Linked DNA regions of Stegostoma tigrinum. The protein of the gene in region 1 purifies or fractionates together with the protein of each later gene. This does not show direct contact. Links are inferred from orthologs where the notes say so. Each region holds a gene or a part of one and is shown in the gene's direction. Other genes may lie near its edges. The genes, in order: nuclear factor NF-kappa-B p105 subunit-like, copb2, E3 ubiquitin-protein ligase RNF123 and NF-kappa-B inhibitor beta-like.

Region 1 (7,332 bases):
TTCCCTGTTCTCTCCCTGTAGCCCTTGATTCCTTGTGAGATCAAGAATTTTTCAATCTCTGCCTTGAAGACATTTAATGTCCCGGCCTCCACTGTACTCCGTGGCCATGAATTCCACAGGCCCACCACTCTCTGGCTGAAGAAATATCTCCTCATTTCTGTTTTAAATTTACCGCCTCTAATTCTAAGGCTGTGCCCACGGGTCCTAGTCTCCCCGCCTAGTGAAAACAACTGCACAGCATCCACCCTTTCTAAGCCATACATTATCTTGTAAATTTCTATTAGATCTCCCCTCAACCTTCTAAACTCTGATGAATACAATCCCAGGATCCTTAGCCATTCATCGTACGTTAAACCTACCATTCCAGGGATCATCCGTGTGAATCTCCGCTGGACACGCTCCAGCGCCAGTATGCCCTTCCTGAGGTGTGGGGCCCAAAATTGAACACAGTATTCTAAAAGGGGCCTAACTAGAGCTTTATAAAGTCTCAGAAACACATCACTGCTTTTATGTTCCAACCCTCTTGAGATAAACAATAACATTACATTCGCTTTCTTAATCACAGACTCTACCTGCAAGTTAACTTTTAGAGAATCCTGGACCAACACTTCCAGATCCCTCTCTACTTCTGCTTTATGAATTTTCTCACCGTTTAGAAAATAGTCCATGTCTGTATTCTTTTTTCCAAAGTGTAAAACCTCTCATTTGCTCATGTTGAATTTCATCAGACATTTCCTGGACCACTCTCCTAAATGGTCTAAATCTTTCTGCAGCCTCCCCACCTCCTCAGTACTACCTGCTTGTCCACCTATCTTTGTATCATCAGCAAACTTCACCAGAATGTCCCCAGTCCCTTCATCCAGATCATTAATATATAAAGTGAACAGCTGCGGCCCCAACACTGAACCCTGTGGGTCACCACTTGTCACCGGTTGCCATTCCGAAAAAGAGTCTTTTATCCCAATTCTCTGCCTTCTGTCAGACAGCGAATACTCAATTCAAGCCAGTAGCTCACCTCGAACACCATGGGCCCTCACCTTACTCAGCAGCCTCCCATGAGGCACCTTATCAAAGGCCTTTTGGAAGTCTGGATAGATAACATCCACTGGGTTTCTCTGGTCTCACCTACTTGTTACCTCTTCAAAGAATTCTAACAGGTTTGTCAGGCACGACCTCCCCTTACTAAATCCATGCTGACTTGTTCTAACCCGACCCTGCACTTCCAAGAATTTAGAAATCTCATCCTTAACAATGGATTCTAGAATATTACCAACTACCGAGGTTAGGCTAATTGGCCTATCAATTTCCATCTTTTGTCTTGATCCCTTCTTAAACAAGGTGGTTACAACAGCAATTTTCCAATCATCTGGGACTTTCCCAGACTCCAGTGACTTTTGAAAGATCACAATCAAAGCCTCCACTATTTCCTCAGCCACTGTCTCAGGGGGTCAGAGCTGAGGGAGGGCCGCACTATCTGAGGGTCAGTCCTGAGGGAGCGCCGCACCGTCGGAGGGTCAGTACTGAGGGAGTACCGCACTGTCAGAGAGTCAATGCTGAGGCAGTGTGGCACTGTCGGAGGGTCAGTGCTGAGGGAGTGGGCACTGTTGGAGGGTCAGTGCTGAGGGAGCACTGCACTGTCGGAGGGTCAGTGCTGAGGGGGTGCCGCACTGTCGGAGGGTCAGTGCTGAGGGAGCACCGCACTGTCAGAGGGTCAATGCTGAGGCAGTGTGGCACTATCGGAGGGTCAGTGCTGAGGGAGCACTGCATTGTCAGAGGGTCAGTGCTGAGGGAGCGGGCACTGTCGGAGGGTCAGTGCTGAGGGAGCGCTGCACTGTGTGAGGGTCAGTGCTGAAGGAGTGCCGCACTGTCGAGGGTCAGTGCTGAGGGAGCACCGCACTGTTGGAGGGTCAGTGCTGAGGGAGCACTGCACTGTCTGAGGTTCAGTTCTGAGGGAGCCCCGCACTGTCAGAGGGTCAGTGCTGAGGAAGTGCCGCACTGTTGGAGGGTCAGTGCTGAGGGAGCGCTGCACTGTGTGAGGGTCAGTGCTGAAGGAGTGCCGCACTGTCGAGGGTCAGTGCTGAGGGAGCGTCGCACTGTCGGAGGGTCAGCGCTGAGGGAGCACTGCACTGTCGGAGGGTCACTGCTGAGGGAGCCCCGCACTGTCAGAGGGTCAGTGCTGAGGAAGTGCCGCACTGTTGGAGGGTCAGTGCTGAGGGAGCACTGCACTGTCGGAGGGTCAGTGCTGAGGGAGCGTCGCACTGTCGGAGGGTCAGCGCTGAGGGAGCACTGCACTGTCGGAGGGTCACTGCTGAGGGAGCCCCGCACTGTCGGAGGGTCAGGGCTGAGGAAGTGCCGCACTGTTGGAGGGTCAGTGCTGAGGGAGCACTGCACTGTCGGAGGGTCAGTGCTGAGGGAGTGTCGCACTGTCGGAGGGTCAGCGCTGAGGGAGCACTGCACTGTCGGAGGGTCACTGCTGAGGGAGCCCTGCACTGTCACAGGGTCAGTGCTGAGGAAGTGCCGCACTGTTGGAGGGTCAGTGCTGAGGGAGTGGGGACTGTCGGAAGGTCAGTGCTGAGGGAGCGCTGCACAGTCGGAGGGTCACTGCTGAGGGAGCGCCGCATTATCTTATACAGATTGTTCCTAGTCTTGAGCTCCCCACAAATAGAAATCTCTTATTAATAGGAATATATGCAGCAAATTGGAATTCCCAAACTGGAATCAAACTTTCGTTTGTCCAAATTGTTTGTGTAAATTGTGGAAAGAATGAGCCCAATACTAGCCCTCGTACAGCACTTGCCACTAACCGCCACTGGGAAAACTATCCTTTACTCCAACTCTTTGCTTGTTGTTTAGAAACCAGCCAGCAATCCATTCGGCCCCTTGGGAATCTGCAACCCCTGTACTCCCCCGGCAACAACCTGGGAAACTGCAGCATCCTTTCTTCCCCGGGGGCAACGAGGAGAATTGCAGACACCTCCCACTGCCATTAGTCCCCTGCCTCCAGCTTCTCCCTATTGGATGGGTGCTGCCTAGTGGGTTCAGTTTCCCAGCTTGTTCCTGGATCGGAGTGGGGGTGTTGGAGTCACAGTTGAAGCTCCAAAGGTGAAGATACAGGGGACTAAAGTTCCCAAAACGGAAGTGAAGGTGAAAGGGCAGATTCCCAGGTTGTACTAGAGGTATTAAAGAGTGAAAGAAGTCCCTGTAACTGTGAGGAAGCGTGAAGGATTTGCACTCGCCCATGTTTTCCGGCGGAGTGAGGGGTTTGGGGTGTGGCGGGGGTGTACCGCCGTCTCCCCAGGGGGAGTGACAGGGCTGCAAACGCCCCCTAGATAGAGATCCCACGCGCAGGTTGTCCCAGGGTAAGAAAAGATCAAAGACCTCCTTGTTTCCCCCAGGGGGCTTGTGGGGTCTGCAGGTCCCCTCCCTTCTGCCCCCGGGTAGTGAGGGGGCTGCAGTTCCTCGCTGTTGCGATTAGGGGGAGTGAGGGGGCTGCAGTACTTCCCGATTGCCGCCAGTGGGAGTGAAGGGGATCAATGATAATGGGAACTGCAGATGCTGGAGAATCCAAGATAACAAAAGTGTGGAGCTGGATGAACACAGCAGGCCACGCAGCATCTCAGGAGCACAAAAGCTGACGTTTCGGGCCTAGACCCTTCATCATCTCTGGGGTCTAGGCCCGAAATGTCGGCTTGTATGCTCCTGAGATTCTGCTTGGCCTGCTGTGTTCATCCAGCTTCACACTTTGTTATCTGAAGGGGCTGTAGCTCCATTCGCTGCCTCCAGTGGAAGTGATGGAGCTGCAGTATCCCCTGCTGCCCCCATGAGGGCTGTGAGGGGGCTGCATTTCCCCCGGTTGCCCGCAGGAGGTCTGAAGGGGCTGTATTTCCCCCCGTTGCTCCCAGAGGGTGTGAGGGGGCTGCAGTTCCCCCCGTTGCCCCCAGGGGGTGTGAGAGGGCTGTAGTTCGCCCCCCCGTTGGCCCCAGCGGGTATGAGGGGGCTGTAGTTCGCCGCCCCCCCAGTTGTACTGTGAGGGTACTGCATTTCCCCCCGTTGCCCCCAGGGGGTGTGAGGGGGCTGCAGTTCCTCCCTTGCCCCCAGGGGGTATGAGGGGGCTGTAGTTCGACCCCCATTGCCCCCAGGGGGTGTGAGGGGGCTGTAGTTCGCCGCCCCCGTTGCCCCCAGTTGCATTGTGAGAGGACTGCAGTTTCCCCCGTTGCCCCCAGGGGGTGTGAGGGGGCTGCAGTTCCCCCCGTTGCCCCCAGGGGGTGTGAGGGGGCTGCAGTTCCCCCCCGTTGCCCCTAGGCGGGCGGGGAATTTCCAGCCGGGGAGCACTGGGCCCCGGGAAGCGGAGAGAGTTTGCCGGGTGTATGGAGTGGTGAGTGGCGGCGCGGAGCCGGTGGATTGTGAGTTGGGAATACATTGTAACTTGTGTCTGATAGCTTGTTGCTGGAAGTTGCTACTTTGTAGCTGGTGCAGGATTCGCTTTGACGGTGAGTTAAACCCAGTGAATGGTTCGCTCCTCACTCGGTCAGAGTGACTGCTCCGTTAGCCTACCCCTCTCCCTCAGTCCCAGTCCGCCTCGACATCTGCTTCAGTGCCGAGCGGCCGCCGACACCAGCGGAAGGCCCGAGTTTCCGCCTGAGGCTCTCCCTCACTTTCCTTATCCTCTGTCAATCCCTCACTCTCAATTCCTCCTCCTACTTCAATTCCCTCCCTTAATGTCTCACCCCCCCTTCTCACTGCGCTGTCGCCTTTTAAATCCCCTTTTCTCAGTGTGTGACTGTCTCTCCTTGTCTTTCAAGCGGACTCTCAGGCTGTTTAATGTGCTGATGATGAGTTATGTTGATCTTCATTCGTAAAACCATAAAAAGCAGGACCAGAAGTCGGCCACTCTGTCCATCGAGTCTAATCTGTCCTTCAGTGAGACCAGGCTGACCTGCTAATCCTCAGTTCCACTTCCTGCCTTTTCCCCATAACCCTTTGTTCTCTTAGTGATTAAAAATCTTGTCTGGCATTGCCTGAAAGTGTGGTAAAGGCAGAAACCCTCATAACATTTGACAAATATTTTGATGTGTGCTTGTGACGCCAAGATAGAGGAGGTTCTGGGCCTTGTGCAGAAAATGGGATTAAAGTAGGGTTATTTGGCCAGTAACCACTCCATGGACCAAAATGCCTTGTTTAGTTCTATAGGTCTCTCTGACGGTGTGATTGTAAGATTGCCTCACATTCTACTAAATGCTAGTGAGTACAGGCCTAACCTACTCAACCTCTTCCCCATCAGACAGTCTTCCCACACCCCATATCCGGGACCAATCAAATGAACCTTCCCTGGATTGTCTCCAATACTCTATATCTTTATACAGGCAAGGTGTCCAAAATGGTTCATTGTATTCCAGCTTTTGTAACTAACGACAAAAGGTTCAGAGAGCCGAAGGGCAGGTCAGTTATAGTTGAAAGGTGAAATCTGTAGGTCTCTTAATGTTGAGCTGAGTTAATTATTTGATCAGGGCAGTGTGAGGGGGCTGATTCTGAAAGGTATATTCTTGTTATGATGCTGTTCTTTAGTGTCTTAAAGCATGGTGATATTTCACTGTTTCATTCATCACAACCCATGTGAAGATGAAGAAGTGAAAGTGAGTGTTGGGTTAACTGTGGAGATTCTTGTTAATGCCAAATTGTGGAATAGGTAATATTTCCAAATAAATTGGTTCTAATGGTGTAATTTTTAGAAATTAGCATTTTTTGTGGATTAGTTGATGCTTGTTCAAGGATATGCTATGAATGATACTGAGGCTAATTAAAATGGTTGAGAAATAAGCACATGTACTTCAAAGTAAAACAATTGTTTATTGCAATATATAGAGAGTTTTTAGGTTGTGTAGCATCAGGCTGGTGTGTGAGAGAGAATAAGCCCTGTCTCTCAGAGTTGGTGGTCACTGGGTAAGATCGATGTCAGGCAGTACTTTGTCACTCAAAGGGAAAAAGTACCCCACAAAGAGCTGATCAAGATCAGAGTCTGTCACAAATTTCAAAACAGTGATCAATAGATATTTATTAGATAGGAGATTAAGATTATGAAACAAAGAATAAATAGTACCTTTTGTAATAAAATATCCCAAGTTCTCCTCAGGAGTATTGCAAAGCAGAATTTGACAGCTAACCACATTGGGAGGTATTAGGTTAGGTTACAGAAAACTTGGTCAAGGAGGTGGGTTTTGAGAAATATCTGGTGGAAGGTGGAAAATGAGACAGTGCTGAGAGTTTAAGGAGGGCATTCCAGAGTATATGGTCCAGACATTTGAAGGCATGGCCACCAACGCAAGAGCGTCTAAAACTGGGAATGTTCAAGAGGCTAGAATTAGAGAAATGCAGGGGGTCTGGGGTTGGAGGAGGTTACAGAGATTGGGAGGGGATGAGGCTGTTAGGTATTTGAAAACAAGAATGATATTTTAAAATAAAGAGGTTGCTTAATCTGGGGCCAGTTTGTCAGGGAGCCAAGGGGTGATAAGGAACAGGAGCCACTGAGAGTTATCACATGAACAGCAGAGTTTTGGACGGCCCCAAGGTCACAGAGGATAGAATGTGGGGACCAATGAGGAGTGTATTGGAGCAGCTAAGAAAGTCTAGAGGTGATTGTTTAAACATGAGGGATTCATGAATGATGAGCTGAGACAGGGTGAAGTTGAGGGATGTTACTGGGCTGGTAGTAAGTGGTCTTAGTAATGGTGCAAAGTAAGAGGTCAGAATCAGGATTTTATGAAAAACCACGGCTGTGACCGACTTAATCCCACAATGTTGTCAGGGTGAGAGAGGTGTTGGTGATTGGGAAACATTGTTTGGACTAGGAACTACAGCCAATGACTTCCCAATATTTAATTGAAGGGAATTTATGCTCATCCAGTTCTGGATGTTAACTCAGTAGTCTGACAGTTTAGAGAGAGTGGAAAAATTGAGAGCTGGTGATGAGGTCAAGCTGGGGTTGTCAGAGAACATAGTGAGAATGAACACTGTACTTTTACATGATGTCACTGAGCAGCAGCATGTAAATGGGAAATTGGATGAGGCCAATGATTCACCCAAAGTAGGTAAATACCAGCTTGTAAAATGGGAGCAAGAATAGGCCATTCGGCCCTTAAACCTGTTTCAGCATTCAACAAGATCATGATGGATCTGTTTGTGCTGTGAGTTTCACATTTCCCCATACCAGACATTCTTGTCAGGGAGGGGAATCAGTGTAACTCTGCATCATTGAATATTTTTAAGGCATTGCCTTCCAAAGTCAACCGTTTGAGAGAGAACAAAATTTTTCATCTCATGCACCCTAGTTCTGAT
Region 2 (7,817 bases), on another chromosome or scaffold:
TTGTAGATGACATTGGTCATGTCCATGGTAGAGAGTGGGTCTTTAGTTTGGGTGAGCACTTGTCGTAGGGCCGATGTGGGCTTGTGTGCCACTCTGATGCCCAGTGGTCAGAGAAATCTTGTGGTGTGTTCTGACATGTTCCTGATGTAGGGTAGTGTGATGGGTGTGTCAGGCCATGTAGGATCTTTCTGATGCTGTTCCTGTAGGCATCTCCTGACCCAGTCGTTTGGATATCCGTTATCTTTGAACACTTGGAAGAGGTATTCCTCCTCCTCTTAGTGTAGTTCCATGTTGCTGAAGTGTGTTGTTGCCCTTTTAAATAGTGTTCACACGCAGCTTCATTTGTGTGTGCTGGGATGGTTACTATTGAAGTTCAATACCTCTTCTGTGTGTGTGACCTTATGGTGTACTTTCGTTTGCAGTTCCCCATTTGTCTTCCTCTTTACTATGAAGTCCAGGAAGGGGAGTTGTTTGTTCTTCCCCTCCTCTCTGGTGAATTTTATTCTGGTGAGGGTGTTGTTTGTGAGTTTGTGTGTCTCTTCTAATTTGGTCCGTTTAATGATGACCAAGGTGCCGTCTATGTCATGTATCCAGAGTTTAGGTTGGATTTGTGGAATGGCAGTCCTTTCCAGTCTTTGCATCACTGCTTCTGCTATGAGTCCGGAGATAGGCAGTCCATGGAACACATTGAACTACATCCCATATACATTCCACTATGGAGGAAACCCAGAAGTGAGGCGATCCATTGCAACAGACCCCAGAGTTTAAAAACCAGGCGGCAAAACACACCGACGCTTCATCAGAGGCTGCACTGAGGATGTTACCCAGCACGGTAATGAAACATCTGCGGAACAACAAATCAGCTCAGCGAACCAACCAACCTCAACACCCACACCTACAAATCTACTCCAAAACTAAATAATGTTATTGAGGAGCTGTTTTATATTAACATAGTTGAAAATGATAACAAGCAACTAACATCTCGTCTGAAGGAATAGCAGAAACAAGGGAAAGTCTCATAAAAAGCATTACACTGATAGCTGTGACAATGGGAGGTTGTAAGGCCTTCAGTGCCCATGAATTGGCTCCATTATGGGGAATTTAATGCTCTAAGAAACTTCGAGTGCCATAGCATCCACTCTGGGGAAAACTTTGACTACAGTTTGAAAGAAACAGTTTCTTTATAATTATGGCTTTTACATTTTTCCAATCCACATCATCCACTCTTTAATTTGGTTCATTTACTTGGATGCTTGTGTGTATATGTTGCAGGTTTTAGTAATGTTTACACTTTAAACCTAAGTGTTTATTTTTAATTAACAAAGCAAACTCGTTATTTCCTTACTCAAGGGATCTGGCTGACTTGTTTCCTCATAACTTTATACATGGTTGAGGATATACTGATTTGAAAATGTGCATCATTTCAAAAAAATCCAAGATCTTTTACCAACTTCAGGCTTGAAAAGAAAAGAATTCATTCACTGGACTTGGTTGAATAATACAATTAAAAAGATTAATTCAGACTATTTCCTAACAAGGAATTGGAGGTTATCAAGACTAAGGATAAAAGTTGGAACTCACAGTGTTTATTGGCACCGTTTCACAATTGTGCCTGTGGTGTAAATACCTTTGAGACATGATTTACTGTCAGTTCAGAAGAAAGATTTTGCCTGCGCTGCTGGCACTTTAAGAAGCCTGGGCTCCTGGGGAATACAAGCTTCCACATTCTTTTTTGTTAAATATATCCGACATCTTGCTTGATGCAGACAAAATGATGAACCCTGTTCATTTGCACTTTTTTGGTTGAAATACAACTGAGGAACACAATGTGTATAATTCACATCCTGAATATTCTGCTGGTTGTTGTCACTCAACATCACCACACAATCAGTAACTTCCCTGAGTGCATTGTCTCCGTTTCCTCCAGCATGACTAGGGTGTTGCATGTTTGTCTGAGTTCGTTGCTATTCCTTCATAATTTATCACCATGCTCAGGAAATATCAGGTATTATCTGGGCTGGTGGCATGTTTGCTGTATTTCTAACCCATATTCTTTGCTCAGTTTTGACATTTCTATCACAACAAAACAAAGTTGCTGGAGAAGCTCAGTCGGTCTGGCAACATCGGTGAAGGGAAAAACAGAGTTAACGTTTGGACCCGGTGACCATTCCTCAGAACTGGGAACTCAGAACGTTAACTCTGTGTTTCCCTTCACAGATGTTGTCAGACCTGCTGACCTTCTTCAGAAACTTTACTTTTGATCTTGACTTATAGCATCCACAGTTCTTTCAGTTTTTATTTGGTATTTCTATGCCTGATAACTCATCACGTATCTCTTTCATTCTATTCTGTTTTTGAAAATAAAAATGTCTATGCCTCAAAATGCTTAGATGTTTGGTTGCTGGACAAGGCTGTTCCAATGTATCTTTGAACATAAGTTCTTCTGGGTAAGGTAAACCATTCCCCACTGATGTTTCAGGAAAATGTAGTAACACAATTCACAAATCTCTCTTTGTTGTGTGACACTTATTGATAATGGATTTGATTGTGTTCTGTTACACTGTTAGAATATGAATAATAGAGTGACAGTGTGATATGAGTCATGATCCACTTTATACATATCCCTTGATTTGTCAGGGAACGATAGTCGACAAAATAAAGAACTGTGGACGCTGGAAATCTAAAATATGAGAACAGAAAGTGCTACCAAATCTCACCAGGCCTGGCAGCACCTATGGACAGAAATCAAAGTTAACATTTCAGGTTCAATAATCCTCCTTCAGAGCTTTGAAACGTTAACTCTGATTTCTTTCTACAGATGCTGCCAAACTTGCTGAGATTTTTCAACAATTTCTGTTTTTGTAACTGCAGTCCATTGTCAGACACTATCCATTTCAAGATACAGAATAAACTGGAAGTAATGCTTAAATAAAATCAAAGACCTGTAAATGTCAGCCATCAGAAAGTATTGCTCCACGAGTCAACAGCTGTCACATTAGTTGTGTTTCTAAGGTTTCCAAATAATAGGAAATTTGGAAAAGTAGTTAGTCTGAAGAACGTGATATTCCCCATGCACTATGACCAATTCTGGTGATATTTTTGCCTAAGGAATGGATGAAAAATTGTGTGGATGTAAACATTCCTGTGCTGCTGGGGTTGATTTATTTGGCATCCCTCACATAGTCATTGAATATCCTGATTCATCACTGGCTTATATACATTAATTGGGAAGGTACGTTCAGTAGCTGTATGCCCCTGGTGTAACATGGAAGTATCTTGATGTAATGCTTTCAGAGTTAGAACCATTATGCATTTGAAATGAGTTGTTGTGATAAACCAAGTCCATCTCTATACTGTCAAAATGAACAAATCCTACCGCGCATATCTTTAACACTGTTAGCCAATCCCGCGACAACAGTGTTTTACAATATTTGTTAATTTTGACATGTCTGTTGCAGTTTCACCCTGGTCCTGGTCAAAGTGAAAGAGTTCAATCTTGAGACCACTTCAATCTCACAGTCTAAAGCATCAATGTGAAAGTCAAGAGGTATAGCTTAGTCTTTATGTGGGTTGGATAATCTGCACAGCATGTCAGACCCATAATTCACTTCAAAGTCACATCCTTACACCTTGACAAGTAGATGCTTGAATGGCTGTGGTGCACTTATTAGCAATTTTCAGCAGATCATTTACAATGGCTTATGATCTTTCAACAGTGAACTTTTTGCCAGTTAAATATGAGTGAAACCACAGAATGCCAATTAGCAGGCTTAATGTCTTATGTTCTTTATTGGAATAATTGGCTTGCAGAGATGACAGGCTTTCAGAATGAAAAACAATAGCTGTATCATCTTGCAAAAGACACATATTGAAGCCTTTGCGTGTTGTATCTTTTCATTGGGTCATTGTATTGCAATAGTAACACTTTATTGTTAGAACCTGCTTGAGAATATGGAACACATTGGTGATCATCTTTCCACAAGTGGAGCTATCTTTCTTGAACAAATCTCTTAACAGACATCATCATCAACAGCAACAAAGACAAAGTGGCTGATAAAGCTCAGCAGGTCTGGCAGCATCTGTGGAGGTGAAAACAGAGATAACGTTTCGGGTCCGGTGACCGTTCCTCAGAACAGATATATCTTGTTCACTCGGTCCGGAAAATACAGTGAAAGAAGGGTAAAGCAGGGGTTCTGTGAGAATCCAGGAATGCACAAAAAAGGGTAAGTGCCAAGAGAACAAGCAAGCAGCTCTGAAATGGTCCAGTCTGTGAACCCGGGCACCTGACCCTGCCCGCCAAGTGTCACACCCACAGTACTGCAATACTAGATGCTGGTGTGCTCCAAAGTGCAGCATGGCAATGCAGAACAATGTGTGAGTGGATTAGAGATGTGCCATAATGGTCTGGAAAGGCTGGCTAACATTGGATGTCGACACACATGAACGTCGGGTCTCAAAACGAGCGCTGTGTCCGCAGTTCCCCCAACCGGAGAAGGGTGTGTGTGTGTGTGTGTGTGTGTGTGCGCTGAGGTCCTCCAACGGCAGGAGGCGTTGTGTATTCGCAGGCCCGCGACAGGAGTGGGCGGTGTGCTGGGACCCTCCTACCACAGGGGGCGCTATGGGCCGAGGGGCGGTGTGCGCTATGTGTTGAGGACCTCCTACCGCAGGGGGCGCTGTGACCTGTGGGCCTCCTCGCGGACGGCGGTGTTGTGGGCTGGCGTCTTCCGCGCCGACGCGGGCATTGAGTGCTGAGATCCTCCTAAGCGGAGGGGGCGCACCGTTCGGAGGACCGTCTAGGGGATGGGGCGCTGCGTCTGATTGGAGCGGCGTCTCTCGCGAACGTTGCGGAAATCCCGTGTTTCGTGGCTGAGGAGGAAGCTCCACGTCAGAGGAGCCATCAGTCCGGCCGGGCCTGGGTGTGGGCGCAGGCTGAGGTGCTGCAGCGATGGTGGGTACGCGGTTGTTGACTAGCAGTGGCTGGCGAGCGGGTAGGGAGCCTGAGCCTGACTGTGGGTGCAGGAGGTTGTGGCTGCTGGAAGTCTCGTCCCTGTTATGTCAACCACAAAGTGCCCTGCCCCACAGGCCCTAAGTACAGCCGCGGAGGGTCCCCGGTGTGTGAAGGCCATCTGTATGTATATGGTGCTGATACGAGGGCCAAGCTCTAAGGCAGCGAGAGGAAGGTGTAGGCTGGAAGGGACTGCATCTGCCCGGCCTCTTGTTCTGTAGTTAAACCCAAATACTGCGGAGGCTGGGATATGAAGTTAAAAAAAACACTGGAAACAATCAGCAAGTCTGCTAGGATCTGAGGAGAGAAATCAGAACTCCTCTTATTGCTCACCGTTTTGAGGCCCGTGCTGTGAACAGGGCCGTCAGGGGTTAGTAAGTAAATTATGTTTTAATTTAGAGATAATGGGAACTGCAGATGCTGGAGATTCCAAGATAATAAAATGTGAGGCTGGATGAACACAGCAGGCCAAGCAGCATCTCAGGAGCTGCTCCTGAGATGCTGCTTGGCCTGCTGTGTTCATCCAGCCTCACATTTTACTATGTTTTAATTTAGGCGTGTTTGTATCCTATTAGACATTTAAGTCGTTATAACTTCTAGCCATTGAATCCACCGCTAGTGAGAACTGAATTCCTGAGTAGGTACATAGTTGAAGGTTTGAGGCTGTTGTAACGCAGAAATGAGGTCGAAGTGTATCTATAAACAGTGTTAAGAAGATGAATTGTCTAGGACACAACCTGTTTCTGTTGCTGTTATACCTAATGAGTTTCACCATTTTTAGGCTGGATTAACCTGCATTCAAGAATTGTAAGCTGTGGAGGAATAGACTGATTTGAACATGACTGTTGTTTACATAAAAAGTCATTAATCACTTTTTGATGTGAGATTGAAGTAGACAGATCAAGTTTTTGTTGACCACCACTCATTTCTGCTTCCACATCAAAAGTTGTGTACTTAAGATTTGTGTACTTAAAAAACAATTTTGCAAATAGTGAATTCCTGCAATGTGATGACCCTGCATGAGTTGTAAGAGAGCATTTAAATTAGGTTGATGCATACTGCCATGTGATCAGTGGGAACAGATGTGGGCCATTGGGCCCGTCAAGTTTGCTCTGCCCTTAAATGAAATGGCTGATCTGATAATCTGTCTGGTATACAAAAACAGCATTAGCTGGAGAATCTCTGTGTCTTGCAGCATCTGAGGAGAGAAAGTAGCGTCAGTGTTTTGGGTCTGGCGACCCTTCTTTGAAATGGATTTTAGCTAGGAAAAGGTTGGTATGTGCATTGAAGACAGGACTCTATTTTGAGACCTAAAGGCTACAGAGTCTCCAAACAGAAAATGAGATGCTGTTCTTCTACCTTTGCTGAGATTTGCTGGTGCAAGACAGCAGGCTGAACTCTGAAATGTCAACTGGGGAACACAGCGTGACATATTGAAGTGGTAGGCAACCTGAAGCTTGGAGTCATTTTTAGAGTCTGAACATTGTCCATGTCCGACACCACCAACCCCACTCCCTGCCCCTGCATACCAGGCTGTGTCATCACATGGGCAGCTTTCACCACAGCCAATCTTTTTTCAGGCACTAACGGTCCCCATTAGCAGCTTTTCTTTTCTCATAAAACTGAGACTTGTAGAATTGTGACAGTATGGAAACAGGCCATTCAGCGCATTAAGTCCACACTGACCCTCCAAAGAGCGTGCCATTGAGAACCCTCCCCAATCCCTTTAACCCTGCACTTACCATGTCTAATCCAGCTAGCCCACGCATCCCTGGACACTTTGGACAATTTAGCATGACCAATCCACCTAATCTGCACATCTTTGGACTGGGGAGAAGACTGGAGCACCCAGAGGAAACCCACACAGACACAGGAAGAATGTGCAAACTCCATGCACGTTCTCCTGATGCAAGAATTGAACCTGGCACTGTGAGGCAGCAGTACTCACCATTGAGCCACCATGCCACCCCTTGGCTGACCATCATCCATTCTGTTGTCTGCCCCAATGCTGCTGTTCTCTCTGGTCTCCATCTCTAGCTATTGTTTCCTTTGTTGCCTGTCAAATTGTAGAGCATTCTTGGGAAATGATTGCTGTGTTTCTGTGTCATTCCCTCTGGAGTCCTAAAGATGTGTCATTCACATTCTCATTCACGTGCTGCCTGTGACACCATTATTCAAGACTTCTCTATTGTGCTGTCAGACTGTTTATCTGACATGTAGTCTTAGGAGTTGCAATTTCTATTAATTAGACATGAGGAATATCAAATTTCTTGGCATTGATTCATGTCAAAAACTCCTTGACATTGAATTGGCGCCCTTCGCCGACTACTGTCAAATAATGAACTGGAGTGTTAAAGTTATGATACAAGTTGATTGTTAAACTTGCAAGATGTTTTTAATTTTAGTGACTATGGCATGATAAAATTCCATATCTCACGTTTTTCTTTGAGTGTATGTAGGGAATTGGAAGTAGTTGCTTAGAAATTCAAATGCCGTAGGATTGAATGGATTAATGGTGGATTTAAACCATTGTTAGTAGAAATACTGTTTTGCTGAAATGTTTATTTTGTTTTTCCCTCTCTTGAATGTAATGACTTGCTCCATATGGCTCAATAGAAGGTAATGTCCATTTGCTATCATGTGTGAGTGGCTCATTGTGTATGAATGTGCACGGGGAACGTGATCGGCTGTTGTAATGTTAAGTTTTATGAACTTGTCTGGTAACAGTCTGCCATGACAATTCTGTATAAAGATAGGAATGTTGTTTACAAATTTATGGACCTTTCATGACCACAAATTATTCTAATGTAGT
Region 3 (7,442 bases), on another chromosome or scaffold:
TTTGAATTGGTCTACAGTCAAGAGACTGGGGCTTCTGTTAAAACTGATGAGGGAGATGTTCTTTAATGAGACAGAGGATCCTTAGTGTTGGGTTATATATTTCTAGCAAGACTCACAGGGGAAGGTAATGGTCTGGTGGCATTATCACTGGACTGTTAATTCAGAGACCCAGATATCATTTTCTGGGCACCTAGGTTCATTTCTTGCCACAGCAGATGGTGGAATTTGAATTCAATAAAATATCTAGAATTAAGAATCTAATGGTGACCCTGAACCCATTGTTGATTGTCGGAAAAATTCATCTGGTTCATTAATGTCCTTTATGGAAGGAAACTGCCATCCTTACCTGGTCTTGCCTACGTGTGACTCCAGACCCACAGCAATGTCGTTGTCTTTAAACTGCCCTCTGGGAAATTAGGGATGGGCAATAAATGCTGCCTGATCAGTGACACCCTCATCCCGTGAATGAATAAACGAAAAAGAAAGGATCATGTAGGGGTAGCATAAGAGCATTTAAAAGTTTCACAAGAAAGGAAATAAAAGAATGAGCAGATGAACATTCAGCAACTAGTTTATTTTCCCTTCTGGTTGCTGTATGATGTGGCTTTTAGTGAGCAAGATGGATACATTTTTAAAAAGCATGAACCAGGCACAATATACCTCCTGCAGACCAATGAAAGTTTGCACAGAAGGAAAATCAAGAAGCAGCATTCTGATCAGTACAAGAATCATATGAGCAAATCCTGTGAAAAGGGAGATTTGAACTGCTTTCCTAGATTTTTCCATTGCTCATAACACTGACATTTTTTTTCCTGAACCTTTGTGCATATATGTAAGGCAAATTTATTAGGAGTTAGAATTTTAAGTTGTGCTTATTATGTACAGAAATCTGGTCTGTGCTTTCTGACAAACCAGATCTAAAAGATAGGTAAATTCGAGAACCTTTATATACTTTCTAAAATCTTTAACTTTGTGACAAATCTGGGGATAGCAAGGCTTGTTTATTGGGTGTGCAAACCCATTGAAGCACGATGATATATAAAATGCAGGATACTTACCCACATAAATATATACCAGCCTGATATACATTAAATAAATGAACATGACCAATTTTTACCTGAATACATAAAATGCATGATACAGAAATTTGATATACACCTAAACATACACGCACACGCAATATATATACTGAAATATTTGAAACACATGATATTACCCATATACGTAGCTAAACCTGATATATACTTAAATGTATACACCTGCCCAATGTATACACAAATATATACACTAACTTGATGTAAACCTAAATATATACTCCCTAACATATACTGAAAGATATAAGCCAGCCCAACACATACACAATTATACACGCTCACCCAATATACACCAAAATATATAAGCCAGCCCGATATATTTAAATAAACGTACATGCACAATATATACTAAAATATAAACACCTGCCTGATATATACCCAAACGTATATGAAACACGATATCCATTAGCCCGATATGCACACACTCAATTTATACAGCCAATACACACCTCTCAGGTTACACCTATCCAATATATATTAGTTTGCTATACACATGCTGATTTGTATCATCCTGTTAATGCATAATGCCTGAAATGCATGTATCCAATATATACCAGCTCAGGGTGACGGGGAGGAAGGAAAATGTGTGGGAAAATGGATGGGGGATCAGGGAAGAGAGAGACAAACAAAAGCAGAGGAGGAGAATAGAGAAGGGAAATTTGATGACAGTGTGTCAAAGAGGTGAGGGACGGGCTAATGTTGGGATCAGAAGGAAGCGGGGCATGGGAGTGGAGAGTGAAAGTGTTGTGTTGGTGGGACAGGGAAGGGATATTGGTGGAGGGAAATGTGAGGGATATTTGTGGAGAGAGGTTTTGGAGAGGGAGTGGGAGAGTAAGAATATTTGGAGAGAGTAAGGATATTTGGAGTTTAGGATGGTATTTTGGGAGGGGAATATGAAAGGATATATGAGGAGGGATGGATAATAGAGTTTGGGGAAGTAGAGGTGTCATTTGTGGGGAAGTAGTTGGGTATTTGTGGAGGGGGTATTTTCAGAGCGAAGTGGGAAGGGGAAAGGGAGGGGAGGGTCTTTGTAGGGCGGACATTGATACTTGTGGAGTGAGGCTACTTGGGGATGGGAAAGGGGTAAATGGGGACATGGCTGGAGACTAGGTGTCATTAGGAGGGAATATTTGTGGATGTGGACAGGGTATTTGGGCAGGAGGTATACATACAGTATTTATACATAGTGAGAGGATTTTTGGGGTAGGGCAAATTGGAAGAGCATACTTGAAGAAGGTTTAGGGGCATTTCAGTAGGGAGTATTTGGGAAAGGGCATATTTATGGATGCACAGGGGTCATTGGTGGAGAGGTAACTGAGGTGCGGTTATTTGTGAGTGGAAGTGGGCATTTGAGGAGGGGAAGTAAAGGTAACACGAGGAGAGGGAGAGGAGGAGATTGAGGAGGGGTACTTGAAGAGAAGTCAGGGATGGAAGAGGTATGGTGGAGAGGTAGTTGGCTATTGTGAAGAGGGAGGAGAAGGTAAAGGGTATTTGTAGCATGAGGTTGGGAGGAATAGCTATTTGGGAATTGGATGAGGGAAAAGCATTTGGAGAGGGGGCTGGGAACTTTGGGGGTAGGGAGGGATAAGTGGCGAGGGATGGGGAATAGTATTTGGGGATGGGGTAGGATATTTGCATATATGGGGAGGGGTGTTTGGCGTAGGGTGGTGGTATACAGAGATTAGGATTTGGGGAGGGGAGATGTTTTTGATGGGCTGGAGGGATTCCTATGGATGGAATTACTTAGGAATTGGAGCAGCATTTGAGGATGGGGATGCATATTTGGAAAGCAGTAGCTAAAAAGAGAGCTGGGAATGGAGAGAAATATTTGGGGACGGTTTAATTGAGGAGGGGATTTGGGGAGTGTGTATTTGTGGATGGGCAGGGCATATTTGTGAATTAGGAGGAAATTTGAGAATGGTGTATTTGTGGATGGGGTGGGGCATTTGGGTAAGGGAAATATATGGCTGGGGATGATGAATTGGTGAGAGGGTGTTTGTGAATGAGGAATTGGTATTTGGGGAGGGTATATTTAGTAAAAGTGGTATTTAGGAATGGTGTTATTGGATGGGGTATTTGAGGCTGGGGATGGGAATGGGTATTTGGGAATAGAATGGGTATTTGGCAGGGAGCATAGGGAAGGATACTTGGGGAGGGATGTGAAGTGGTATTTCAGGAGGGGCAATGATAAGGAATGGAAGGGGTATCTGGGGAGGGATGGATATTTGGTGATCTAGTGAGGGTATTTGTGGATTTGGCTAGGGAGGCACTTGAGAGTCATAGAGCTGTACAGCACAGAAACAGACCCTTTGGTCCAACTTGTCCGTGCTGACCAGATGTCATAAAGTAATCTATTCCCATTTGCCAGTATACCTCTAAACCCTTTCTATTCATATACCCATCCAGGTGCCTTTTAAATGTTGTAATTACAGCAGCCTCCACCACCACCTCCTCTGGAGCACATTCTACACACAAACCACCTTCTGCATAGGTCCCTCTGTCTCCCTAAGCCTAGCCCTCTAGTTTTGTACTCCACTACCCTGGGGAAACGACCTAATGTATTTACCAATTTAATCTATTTAATATTCCAACTGCTACAGTCAATGTATTTGGGTAGGGAAGAGAAGGTGTCTTTGGTGGGGTGGTGAGGGACATTTGTGGAGTGGGGGTATTTGGGAATGGAGAAGAGAACTCGGAAAGGGAGGTCTGGGGTTGGAGAGAGAATTTTAGGGAGGTGGTATTTGGGAAGGATATTTAGGCATGGGGAGAGGTATTTCGGGATCGGACATTTATGGATGGGGATGGCCTATTTATGGATGGCGAGTCTGGTATTTGTGGATGGAGAGTGGTATTTGGGGAGGGAGAGGAATATTTGAAATAGGAGTGTTTGTGAAAGGGAATTATAGAGGGGATGAGTATTTGTGGTTCGGTATTTGGGCAGGGGAGGCTATTGTGGATGGGAGCGGTATTTGAGCAGGGAGAGGGCTATTTGAACAGGGGATGGGAATTTAGACAGGGGGAGGTGTATTGTGGATGGAAAGGGCACTTGATTGGGGGTGTATTTAAGCAGGAGAAGGGTATTTGAGCAGGGGAGGGGTATTTAAGCAGGTGGGTGGGGTATTTGATCAGGGCGAGGTATTTAAACGGGGGATATATGATCAGGGTAGGGGTATTTAAGCGGGGCAAGGGTTTTGAGCAAGCGGAGGGGTATTTGATCGGGGCGGGGTATTTAAGCTGGGGGTAAATGATCGGGGAGGCGTATTTAAGCTGGAGATGGGGCATTGGGGGCGGGGTCGGGACCGACTCCGCCCTATGGGCGCAGCGCATGCGTGCGGCGGGCTTTAGACCGGACTGAAGATGGCGGCGACGGGAGCGGGTCCGTGAGGAGAAGTCGGGACAGAGTGGGTCTTCTCTGAGAAACCGGGGTCTGCGCAAGCTGGGTAGCACAGGTCAGCGGAACCGAGGCCCATCCGAAACCGGAACACTGTCGACAGGGAAACTGAGAGATTAAAAGTGAATGAGAGGTCGGGGGGGGCCGAGATCCTCGTCACTGACCCCGCCCACCCGTCACTGACCCCTCCCCACCACCCCACCCTCGTCACTGACCCGCCCCCACCCTCGTCACTGACCCGCCCCCACCCTCGTCACTGACAACACCCCGACCTCTGTCACTTACTGCCCCCACCCCACCGTCACTAACCACTAACTCACCCTCCTACCCCACCCGCTCCACACCCCCGTCACTTACTCTTCCCTGCTTTCACTGACCCCTCCCCCATCACTGACCTGGCCCCCAAAACTGACCCCTCTCCCAACACATGACTTGCTTCCATTCTTGACCCCATCACTGACTTCCCTCCATTCAGTGACTCCCCCCTCCCCCAATTACTGACTTGCCCCTAATCACTGCCCCACCTCACCATCGTTCCTGGAAGCTCTGCAATCAGTTGATCTCCTCGAATTGCTGACCCTCTCCTTTCTGTGACTCCTCCACGAGTCTGACACTGCCCCCCACCAAAGCACAATGACCCTCTTCTCCCCATCACTTAGGCTCCTGCATCACTCTGAGCCCACACCCAACACTCCCCTCTCACCTAGGCTCCTGGATCACTCACATCACCTCCCCCAACTAATCACATGGACCTCACTACTCAGTGGCCCTCCAGATGCATGCTGACTTTTCCAGTCCCCACATTTACCACCCTTCCAACCATGCTAACCCCCTAATTTCCACACTGACCCCTGTGACTCACACTTGATCTCCAGATCTCACCGACACCCTCCAGACTTGGCTGACATCTTTCAATATCATTCTTCTCTACTGTCCCTGTGTCCCTTGAATTTTTAAAAATGTAGGCATCTTCAATGTACTTAACAATCAATCCTCCACAGCTCTTTCGGATAGAGAATTCCAGCTGATGTTGGAGTGTCTTTCATATTGAACTGAGGCAATCAGCGATCTATTTCCTACGATTCGTCTCATGCTAATTCCCCAGTAGGCTAATTCTCAAAGTTTGCTCTTAAGTTTACTTTGATTTCACTTGCTGCCTTATGTTTTCAGTTCTTATCTGGCCAGTTATCCTTTGGGTAGCTCACTGCCTTTCAGTGCAAGTAGTCAAGCAAATGTTGGTCTTTGAAATAACTTTCTTATATCTGCTACTAACATTACCATCTTCCTTGGGCACATGCTAAGCTCACGCTGAATAATAGATAACGGCAGCCATCTCAGAACATGGAGTGAAAATACTGAAGCTGTTTCCTCCACTAAATTTGTTTTTACATAGTTTTACAAATTGGAGAGACACTAATTTGGAAAATGACGTCTAAAGGCACCAGCACATCCTACTCCAGGAGAAGTTATCGGTTGACCTCTGATACAGAAAAACCAAAGGTCACAGGTATGTTTGGTATCAAGGGTTGGGACAGCCTGAGTGATCCTAATTGTGATGTGTGTGTGAACATCCTATATCTACTTAGTTTGTGAGAGAAGTATACTTTGTTTGGGAAGTACTTAAAAATAACGTGAAAGATTGGCAAATTGAACAACTGAATGTATCTGGATGGAATTGTGACCTGTGAAACTGCTTGGATGGGAAATGTGTTTTTGTCTCCTGTTTCACTAATCGATGACTTGGTGGCATTCCCCACAATTGTAAGCCCATTGAAATCCCATGTTGCTGGCAACTATGTTTGGATTTCAGCACTCCGAAATCTAATTGGTGGCAGCCCCGACTCAACAGTAACGCTCTCACCCTACGTGCAAAGGTTGTGCAAGGCTAGGAAATGCAAGTATACTCTGATGTTATTTTTAACGGCTTCAGCTGATGCAGTGTGAATAGTTGTGATGCCATCAGGAGTGGCTCTCCCATGTTAGGTGTGCGGTCTGTGAGCGATGGTCTGACTTAGATGACCAGAGGTTGAAACCTGGGACTTCACTAGGTGGGATCCATCACCAGGTTGCAGTTGGAAATCTTTGAAATTAACCAAGTGGTTTGCCGACCAGAGGTAGGTCTGTAACCACTTTACAGGGTATGATGGTATTCCAGTCAAGACTGCTTGATTTCAGACAAGTGTGAAGATTTTACTTGTGCGACTGTGTCAAGTAGAGTGCTTTATTATTTGGTGATGTTCTCCTTCACAAAGGATATTTTTGTTATAGACATTGTGGATTTCAATGTGTGCCAGCATAGGAAGTAACAGAAGCTCTCTCGATGCCAGAGAAGTAATCTTCATCATTGCTTGGAGCTGGGCATCTACCTTGTTGGTCCAGCAGTTCCTGAACCTGTTGAGCAGCAGTATTCTAAGATAATAAAATGTGAGGCTGGATGAACACAGCAGGCCAAGCAGCATCTCAGGAGCACAAAAGCCGACGTTTCGGGCCTAGACCCTTCATCAGAGAGGGGGATGGGGAGAGGGAGCTGGAATAAATAGGGAGAGAGGGGGAGGCGGACCGAAGATGGAGAGTAAAGAAGATAGATGGAGAGAGTATAGGTGGGGAGGTAGGGAGGGGATAGGTCAGTCCAGGGAAGACGGACAGGTCAAGGAGGTGGGATGAGGTTAGTAGGTAGCTGGGGGTGCGGCTTGGTGTGGGAGGAAGGGATGGGTGAGAGGAAGAACCGGTTAGGGAGGCAGAGACAGATTGGACTGGTTTTGGGATGCAGTGGGTGGGGGGGAAGAGCTGGGCTGGTTGTGTGGTGCAGTGGGGGGAGGGGATGAACTGGGCTGGTTTCGGGATGCAGTAGGGGAAGGGGAGATTTTGAAACTGGTGAAGTCCACATTGATACCATATGGCTGCAGGGTTCCCAGGCGGAATATGAGTTGCTGTTCCTGCAACCTTTTGGTGGCATC
Region 4 (7,613 bases), on another chromosome or scaffold:
CGTAATAGCTGAGACCCTTATAACGAAAAAGATTTTTAAAACAGAAATACTGACTTAAAATGGCTGTTGTTGTCACCTGACTACAGATTGTGGCAAGTCCAGGGAACCCATTCAGAATACATAAAATTGGCAAAATTGAAATTCTGCTTAATCTAAAATAATTGAAATCAGACAACCGAGTTAGAGTCAAGAAGTTTGGATCTACTGTTTAATTCACACTTGAATATTACTTTTCACCATTTGAACATAAAAGTGTTCCCTGCAACTATCCAACTTAAATAAACAATGAAAGCAGACTCACAAATACACAGATAGACTCTATTTCAGGGGCTTTTGAGCAGCAAAGGAGAAGGAAATTGGATTCCGAATTGCAGAACATGGAAGGTTTGTTCTCTCTTTTGCCTCCTGCTCCCACCTCTCTCCCCAATCCTTAACATCTCTTGGGAATTTTGGAAAAACAACCATTCACTAACAATTCCAGGATTCTACAAATGGCATTATGACTGAGGAAGAAAGACAACAGTTAAACAGTCATACACTCATGTTTAACTCTTACAACCAGAGGTCCCTAAGAAATTTAAACTGCATCTGAATATCTTCCTATAGACAGTAGATACCCTCTCCATCACTCTTAAATCTATTATCTTTGTTTGAGTTTGTGTTTAATATTGCATTTTTTTTTCCTCTGGGTTTGTAGATAATAGAATGGCTCTTTATTTCACTCAAGATAATCTTGATAATTCTTCCTCCCATTTTCTAGTGAATTACATTTTAATCGGAGTGTCATGGCTGTGTGCTAAATGAAAAATGAAAGATATTTCTAGTGGCTGAATGAGATGGGCTGACAAAATGGACAGCTGTTTCCTCATCTGTTCTTAACAACAGGAACACAGGAATCAGGAGTAGGTCATTTGGCCCACTCACGCCTGCTCCAGCGTTCAGCATTGGCTGATCTGATTGTGGGCTCAACTCTGCAGTTCTATCTCCTCCCACCCTCCAATAACTTCTAACTGCCTTGTTAGTCAAAAACCTATCTACCTTTGTCTTAAATTCAATGAACCTGTATCCAACCTCTCTGCGAGAAGTGAATTCCACAGACTAATGAAACTCAGAAAATAATCCTGTTAAACTCCATCTTAAGTGCAAGATACTTACTTTAAAACTGTATCTGTTAATTTTAGTCACTCCCATTAGGACAAATATCCTTTCAGCATCCACCCAATCAAGTTCCTTCAGGATCTCACAAAGTTCAATACAATTCTCATTTCTCCAACCTTCGAGTTTGAAAATTTGAAATAATCCCAGACTCTACTCTTGAATTTGTACATGTAAATGTGGGAGTCAGCGACAGTGAGCATGGACACATTACTCAACTAGAGTAGCACTCAGTAGTGAAGCACAGTAGTGGTACTGGCCAAGCACAGTAACCCAGGTTAATGTTCTGGGGGACGCAGACTTAATCCTAAATTGGCTGATGGTGAAATTTCAACGAAAACTTTAAAAGCCAGCTGAGTGACTATCATTGTTGATTGCTGCAAAAACCCAAAAATAAAACAAAGAACTATGGATGCTGAAAATAGTCATACAACATGGAAAATGGAGGCAATGGCCTAATGGTATTATTGCCGGACTGTTAATCCAGAGGCCCAGATAACTTTCTGGGGATAACAAAGTGTGAAGCTGGATGAACACAGCAGGCCAAGCAGCATCGCAGAAGCACAACCTGGGATTGGATCCGCTACGGCAGATGGTGGAATTTAGATTCAATGAATAGTTGGAATTAAAAGTCTAATGATGACCATGAATCCATTCTCTTTGGTGGAAAACCCATCTGGTTCACTAATGTTCCTTAGGGAAGGAAACTGCCACCCTTACCTGAGATAACGAGGTGCAGAGCTGTGTGAACACAGCAGGCTAAGAAGCATCATAGGATCAGGAAGGCTGATGTTTTGGGCCTAGACCCTTCATCAGAAATGGTGGAGGGGAAGGAGGTTCTGAAATAAATAGGGAGAGAGGGGGAAGTGGATAGAAGATTGATAGAGAAGAAGTTGCAGTGGGAGAGAGATCCCCTGAGGTTTGTCCGGAGGGAGGAGGATAACTTCTTCAGGGTAGGCATCCTTTGAAGAGGCTTCACAGTGGGGTTAAAATTGTATCAGAGGTAACAGGAACTGCAGATGCTGGAGAATCTGAGATAACAAGGTGTGGTTAAAATTGTATCGAGATAATAGGAACTGCCAATGTTTCTCCAGCATCTGGTTATTATCTCTGCTATCCTTACCTGGTTTGGCCTGCATGTGATCCAGACCCACAGCAATGTGGTTGACTCTTAACAGCCCTCTAGGCAATTAGGAATGGACAATAAATGCTGCCTAGTCAGCAACTCCCTCATCCCGCAAATCAATAAAGGTTAAAAAAAAGACCTTCGGTCCAATTAGTCCATGCCACCATAATGCCAACAAACCAACTATACATCCAACAAGATCCCTCCAAACATTTCTTATTCATGTACTTATTCCTTTTAAACATTGTAACTGTACCCACATCCAACACTTCCTCTGGAGGTTAATTCCACACACAAAATACTCACTGGTTTAAAAAGATTGGCTCTCATGTCTTTTTAAGATCTTTTTCCTCTCACCTTAAAAGACCCTAGTCTTGAAATCCCCATCCTTAAGAAAAAAGACACCTGCCATCCACTTTAGCTCATGATATTATAAACCTCTATACGGTCATCCTTCACGTCCAGTAAAGTCTCAGCCTGTGGTATCACAAATAAACTGCTGAAGGAGACTCACTGGACTGTAAACATTAAGTCCGCTTTCTCTCCACAGATGTGGAGGAATGGAATTGTGGGAGATATAACAGTTTGGATCAGAAATTGGCTTGCTGAAAGAAGACAGAGGGTGGTAGTTGATGGGAAATGTTCATCCTGGAGACCAGTTACTAGTGGTGTACCGCAAGGGTCAGTGTTGGGTCCACTGCTGTTTGTCATTTTTATAAATGACCTGGATGAGGGCATAGAAGGATGGGTTAGTAAATTTGCAGACAACACTAAGGTCGGTGGAGTTGTGGATAGTGACGAAGGATGCTGTAGGTTGCAGAGAGACATAGATAAGCTGCAGAGCTGGGCTGAGAGGTGGCAAATGGAGTTTAATGCAGACAAGTGTGAGGTGATGCACTTTGGTAGGAGTAACCGGAAGGCAAAGTACAGGGCTAATGGTAAGATTCTTAGCAGTGTAGATGAGCAGAGAGATCTCAGTGTCCATGTACACAGATCCTTGAAAGTTGCCACCCAGGTTGACAGGGCTGTTAAGAAGGCATACAGTGTTTTAGCTTTTATTAATAGAGGGATCGAGTTCCAGAACCAAGAGGTTATGCTGCAGCTGTACAAAACTCTGGTGCAGCTGCACTTGGAGTATTGCGTACAGTTCTGGTCGCCGCATTATAAGAAGGATGTGGAAGCTTTGGAAAGGGTGCAGAGGAGATTTACTAGGATGTTGCTTGGTATGGAGGGAAGGTCTTACGAGGAAAGGCTGAGTAACTTGAGGCTGTTTTCATTAGAGAGAAGAAGGTTGAGAGGTGACTTAATTGAAACATATAAAATAATCAGAGGGTTAGATAGGGAGAGCCTTTTTTCTAGGATGGTGACGGTGAGCACGAGGGGGCATAGCTTTAAATTGAGGGGTGAAAGATATAGGACAGATGTCAGAGGTAGTTTCTTTACTCAGAGAGTAGTAAGGGAATGGAACGGTTTGGCTGCAACAGTAGTAGATTTGCCAACTTTAGGTACATTTAAGTCGTCATTGGATAAGCATATGGACGTACATGGAATAGTGTAGGTTAGATGGGCTTGAGATCGGTATGACAGGTTGGCACAACATTGAGGGCCGAAGGGCCTGTACTGTGCTGTAATGTTCTATGTTCTATGCTACCAGACCTGCAGAGTTTCTCCAGCAATTTCTGTCTGTTGCTGGATAAAATTCCATCTGTCTTTTAGGGAAGGAAATCTCTTGTCCTTAACCGATCTGGCCTGTTTTCATGATTCCATACCCACAGCAATGGGGGCTGTCTCTTAACCTTCTCTACAACGGCTTTATAAAGCCAGTCCATTCCAGGGGCAATTAGGGATGGGCAATGACCGCTGCCATCAGCGAATAACAGAAGCAAAACACTGTCCCTCTCTCCACAGACACTGCCAGATCCGCTGAGTTTCTCCAACACTTTCTTTCCAGATCCTCAGCCTGAAACTTGCTCAAGTTGTTGTTGTCCTTGATAACGAACAACAGTCCTGATGAAGAGTCCAGATCTGAAACGTTGACTTTCCCACCCCTCTAATACTACCTGACTTGCTGGGCTCCCCCCGCCACCCACTCCGTTGCCTCTGACTGCCAGCACTGCAGTCTTTAAAGACTTGCTATCGCCAGGACTACAACTACCACAGGCCATTGCGGCGGGGGCAGCGTCTGCGCATGGGCAACGTCGTCTCCCTCACAGGGACCTGCCAGGAAAGCGCAATTCGATTGGTCCCTGGCCTAGCGGGGGAAATTCCCACCAGACAAAAGGGTAAACAAGGCGTCGGCCATTTTTGGTGAGGCGTCCGTTTCATCTCCGTGTCTTTCTTTCACTTTCCCGTTAAAGCTGCTGCTCCGCGGCGAGAGGGATGGCGGTTTTACCTCATAGATTTCGCTGATGAGTCGACTGGCGTCCTTTAGAATCGTGTTCAAGAGCGATTTTCATTATCACGTCGGGAGTCCAGAGAAAAAAACATGGAGGTTGTCCCGCAGCTGTCAAATGGCAACTCATCCAAACAGACGATCAAGCTGGGCACTGGTAAAGTGGCCGCGCCGTGGGGTGGCCAGGCCAAGTTGGACAGCCTGGGGCTACCCGCTGAGGTAGAGGGCGATGACTACTACGACAGTGGCATTGGCTCCCTCAGTGAGCTGCAGGTCAGCCAGTTCAGTGAGTTGGGTGGCGTTGACCAGAGTGTTGATGGTGGGGAGGGCAAGGATGGCATGTCCATGGGCACTGAGCCAGACATTTGCTTATCCACCCAGCGGTGGGCAGAGAGTGGCGTTAGCCAGATCACCCAGGGCATCGAGGATGTGAAACTGAGTGGCACCGGTCAGATCACCCAGGGAATGGAGCTGGGAAGTTCCCAAGAAGCAGTGAATGAGTTGAAGGAATTGCGCCACTACCGAACCGAAGACTTGGACTCGTGAGTATCGCTTGCATGAGGGGGTAATAAAGTGTCAACTGTGGGTGGGCATGGGGGTATGGGTTTACTTGGTTCCATCATTCCCAAGTACCAGATGCAGAAATACACCTTCAGCCCATGTGCTGGTATGCCCAGTACCAGCAACAATCCATTGTCAACTTTCAGATGAGGTCATTAAACCTGACTGGTGAATACAAAAAAAAAATTCTGGCACTATTTCAAAGACGTGTCTCTTAATCAGAAGATGGTGCGTTTAAGCCTCACTCCAAAGACTTGAGCGCAAGAATCAAGTCTGACATTCCCATTGCAGTACTGAGAGGGCATTGCTGTGTCAAAGGTGTATCATTTTTTGGATGAGATGCTAACTCAAGGATTTTATGGAGCTATTTGGAGGAAGAACATGAAGTGTCCTCTGTAGTGACCTAGTCAACTTTACTTCCTCTGCCAATGTTGCCACCAAGGGAAAAGATCATCTGGCCATTGTTTATTTTGTGGGATCTTGCTGTGTGTAAAACACCTGCTGCATTGACCTCTATTATACAGTGACTACCCTTTGAAAGTTTCCACGCAGTTCTTTGAAATCTGAGGTGATGAAAGAAGTTGAAGTTGCTTAATTCCCCTCTCAATATATTCCTGGAGGCAGTCCTATCTCTAACACCTAACCCAAATAGAATTTTTAGTTTCTGATGTACAATATCTTTATGTACAATTTAGTATTCAAAGGAAGATTTTTTTTTTAAAAGACAGAATTATTATTAAACAGATTGCAGCAGTTCAAGGAGGCAGCTCCAACACCATGTTCTCAATGGTAACTAGATATGGGCAATAAATGCTGGCCAGCCAGCAATGCCCACATTGCTGTGACTGAATAAAAAGCATTTTAAAAATTATTATGTGATGTGGTGACTGTCTTTTCTTTCATCTGTGACCTGGGTTTGAATTAATCGCTGTTGGTGAAAGTGATCCTATGTGAAATGTGGCAGTCTCAGTTTAACATTCTCCTAGGTCCACAGCACCAGACTTCCCTTTGATGAAAGTCTCATTTGTTGAGGCTGCAAATTGACTCTCTCAGAAATGTCACTCTCATGCAGTTGGAAATGGTTTTGGGACTCAGACATGTTTCTGGGCAGAGTAGAGGAGCTTGCATTTGTATTTTCTGGGAATAGTTAAAACTCATTTTGACTGCACAAATTTACTGGAATTTAAACATCCCTTGTCTTGAGGAGTGCCACATTCACATTAAATCAGTTTTAAAACAGAATACTGCAGAGATTCACATAATCTGATATACAGAAAACCCTGCTCTGAAATCACTCTTCCATTAGCAGCCATGACCCTAATCTCTGGAATTTCCTCTCTAAACCTCTCCATTACTCTACTTCTGTTTCCTTTTTTTTTAAAAGCATCTCTTTAAAACATAGATCTTTGCCTGAGCTTTTTTTCCAAATATTGCCTTGTTTAGCTCGATGAGGAATTTGCCTTTTGATTATCAAGGCAGCTGTTTTTGGTCAAGTTTTGCAAGGTGATAAGGTAACAAAATAAAGAACAGACTTGTATTTATGTAGCAACTTCTCATGTCCTCAAGCATCCCATCAAAATGCTCGGCTCGTAGATTATATTTAAAGTGTTATATTGACAAAATGGCAGGACGTTTCTGCAAAAAGCACTGATTGGTGATCTCCAAGTGATGTGCAAATACCACCTTAGACATAATTAGCCTCCCCGCTGAACTTTGAAATTTAAGATTACATATATACTTATGTTTCTTATATGTATAGCACCTTTCATGGCCATGGGAAATCATAAAGTGTTTTATAATCAATTAAGTGCGTTGTGACATGTATTATCTGTCATATTGTAGGAAAGATTGCACTAATTCGCACACTGCAAGCTCCCACAAACAACAGAGATGATGACTTCATTATATGCTATAGTGACATTTGTGGAAGGCAACATATTAGGACATTGAAATGAACTCAATAAAAACCAAAAGAACTGAAGATGCTGCAAATCAGGAATGTAGATAGAATTTGCTGGAAAAGCTCAGCAGGTCTGGCAGCATCTGTGAAGAAAAAAAATCAGAATTAATGTTCCAGGTCCAGTGACTTCCTCAGAACTGTTCTGAGATAGGATCATTGGACCTGAAATGTTAACTCTGACTTTTTCTTTGCAGATGCTGCCAGACCTGCTGAGCTTTTTCAGCAAATTCTGTTTTTGTCACTGAAATAAACTCGCCTGTGCTTCTTCAAAGTAGTTACCTGGATCTTGTACGTGCTCACTGTTGGGGAAGCAGTTAGGGACTTGGTATAATATTTTATCATAAAGATGTAATCTCTGGAGTTGAACCCCTCAGCCCTGCACTGAATTGTCAATCAAGATTTTCTGTGCATAGATTTTG

The links.
Region 2: the proteins of nuclear factor NF-kappa-B p105 subunit-like (region 1) and copb2 purify together in Homo sapiens (affinity purification with mass spectrometry; 5 studies listed by BioGRID and IntAct, with this or other methods). This does not show direct contact. The link is inferred for Stegostoma tigrinum from reciprocal best matches to the Homo sapiens genes NFKB1 and COPB2.
Region 3: the proteins of nuclear factor NF-kappa-B p105 subunit-like (region 1) and E3 ubiquitin-protein ligase RNF123 purify together in Homo sapiens (affinity purification with western blotting; 4 studies listed by BioGRID). This does not show direct contact. The link is inferred for Stegostoma tigrinum from reciprocal best matches to the Homo sapiens genes NFKB1 and RNF123.
Region 4: the proteins of nuclear factor NF-kappa-B p105 subunit-like (region 1) and NF-kappa-B inhibitor beta-like purify together in Homo sapiens (affinity purification with mass spectrometry; 7 studies listed by BioGRID and IntAct, counting the BioPlex papers as one, with this or other methods). This does not show direct contact. The link is inferred for Stegostoma tigrinum from reciprocal best matches to the Homo sapiens genes NFKB1 and NFKBIB.

What each region holds. Positions count from the first base shown.
Region 1 is NC_081354.1:1,700,437-1,707,768, reverse strand, and holds the start of nuclear factor NF-kappa-B p105 subunit-like, read left to right. Parts: upstream 1-4,258; 5' UTR 4,259-4,375; exon of another isoform or gene 4,376-4,490; intron 4,491-7,332.
Region 2 is NC_081367.1:20,776,357-20,784,173, forward strand, and holds the start of copb2 (coatomer subunit beta'), read left to right. Parts: upstream 1-4,815; 5' UTR 4,816-4,945; coding exon 4,946-4,948; intron 4,949-7,817. UniProt on the Homo sapiens protein: The coatomer is a cytosolic protein complex that binds to dilysine motifs and reversibly associates with Golgi non-clathrin-coated vesicles, which further mediate biosynthetic protein transport from the ER, via the Golgi up to the trans Golgi network.
Region 3 is NC_081364.1:65,894,526-65,901,967, reverse strand, and holds the start of E3 ubiquitin-protein ligase RNF123, read left to right. Parts: upstream 1-4,427; 5' UTR 4,428-4,543; intron 4,544-5,878; 5' UTR 5,879-5,910; coding exon 5,911-5,992; intron 5,993-7,442. UniProt on the Homo sapiens protein: Catalytic subunit of the KPC complex that acts as E3 ubiquitin-protein ligase. Promotes the ubiquitination and proteasome-mediated degradation of CDKN1B which is the cyclin-dependent kinase inhibitor at the G0-G1 transition of the cell cycle.
Region 4 is NC_081392.1:14,792,009-14,799,621, forward strand, and holds the start of NF-kappa-B inhibitor beta-like, read left to right. Parts: upstream 1-4,545; 5' UTR 4,546-4,766; coding exon 4,767-5,215; intron 5,216-7,613. UniProt on the Homo sapiens protein: Inhibits NF-kappa-B by complexing with and trapping it in the cytoplasm.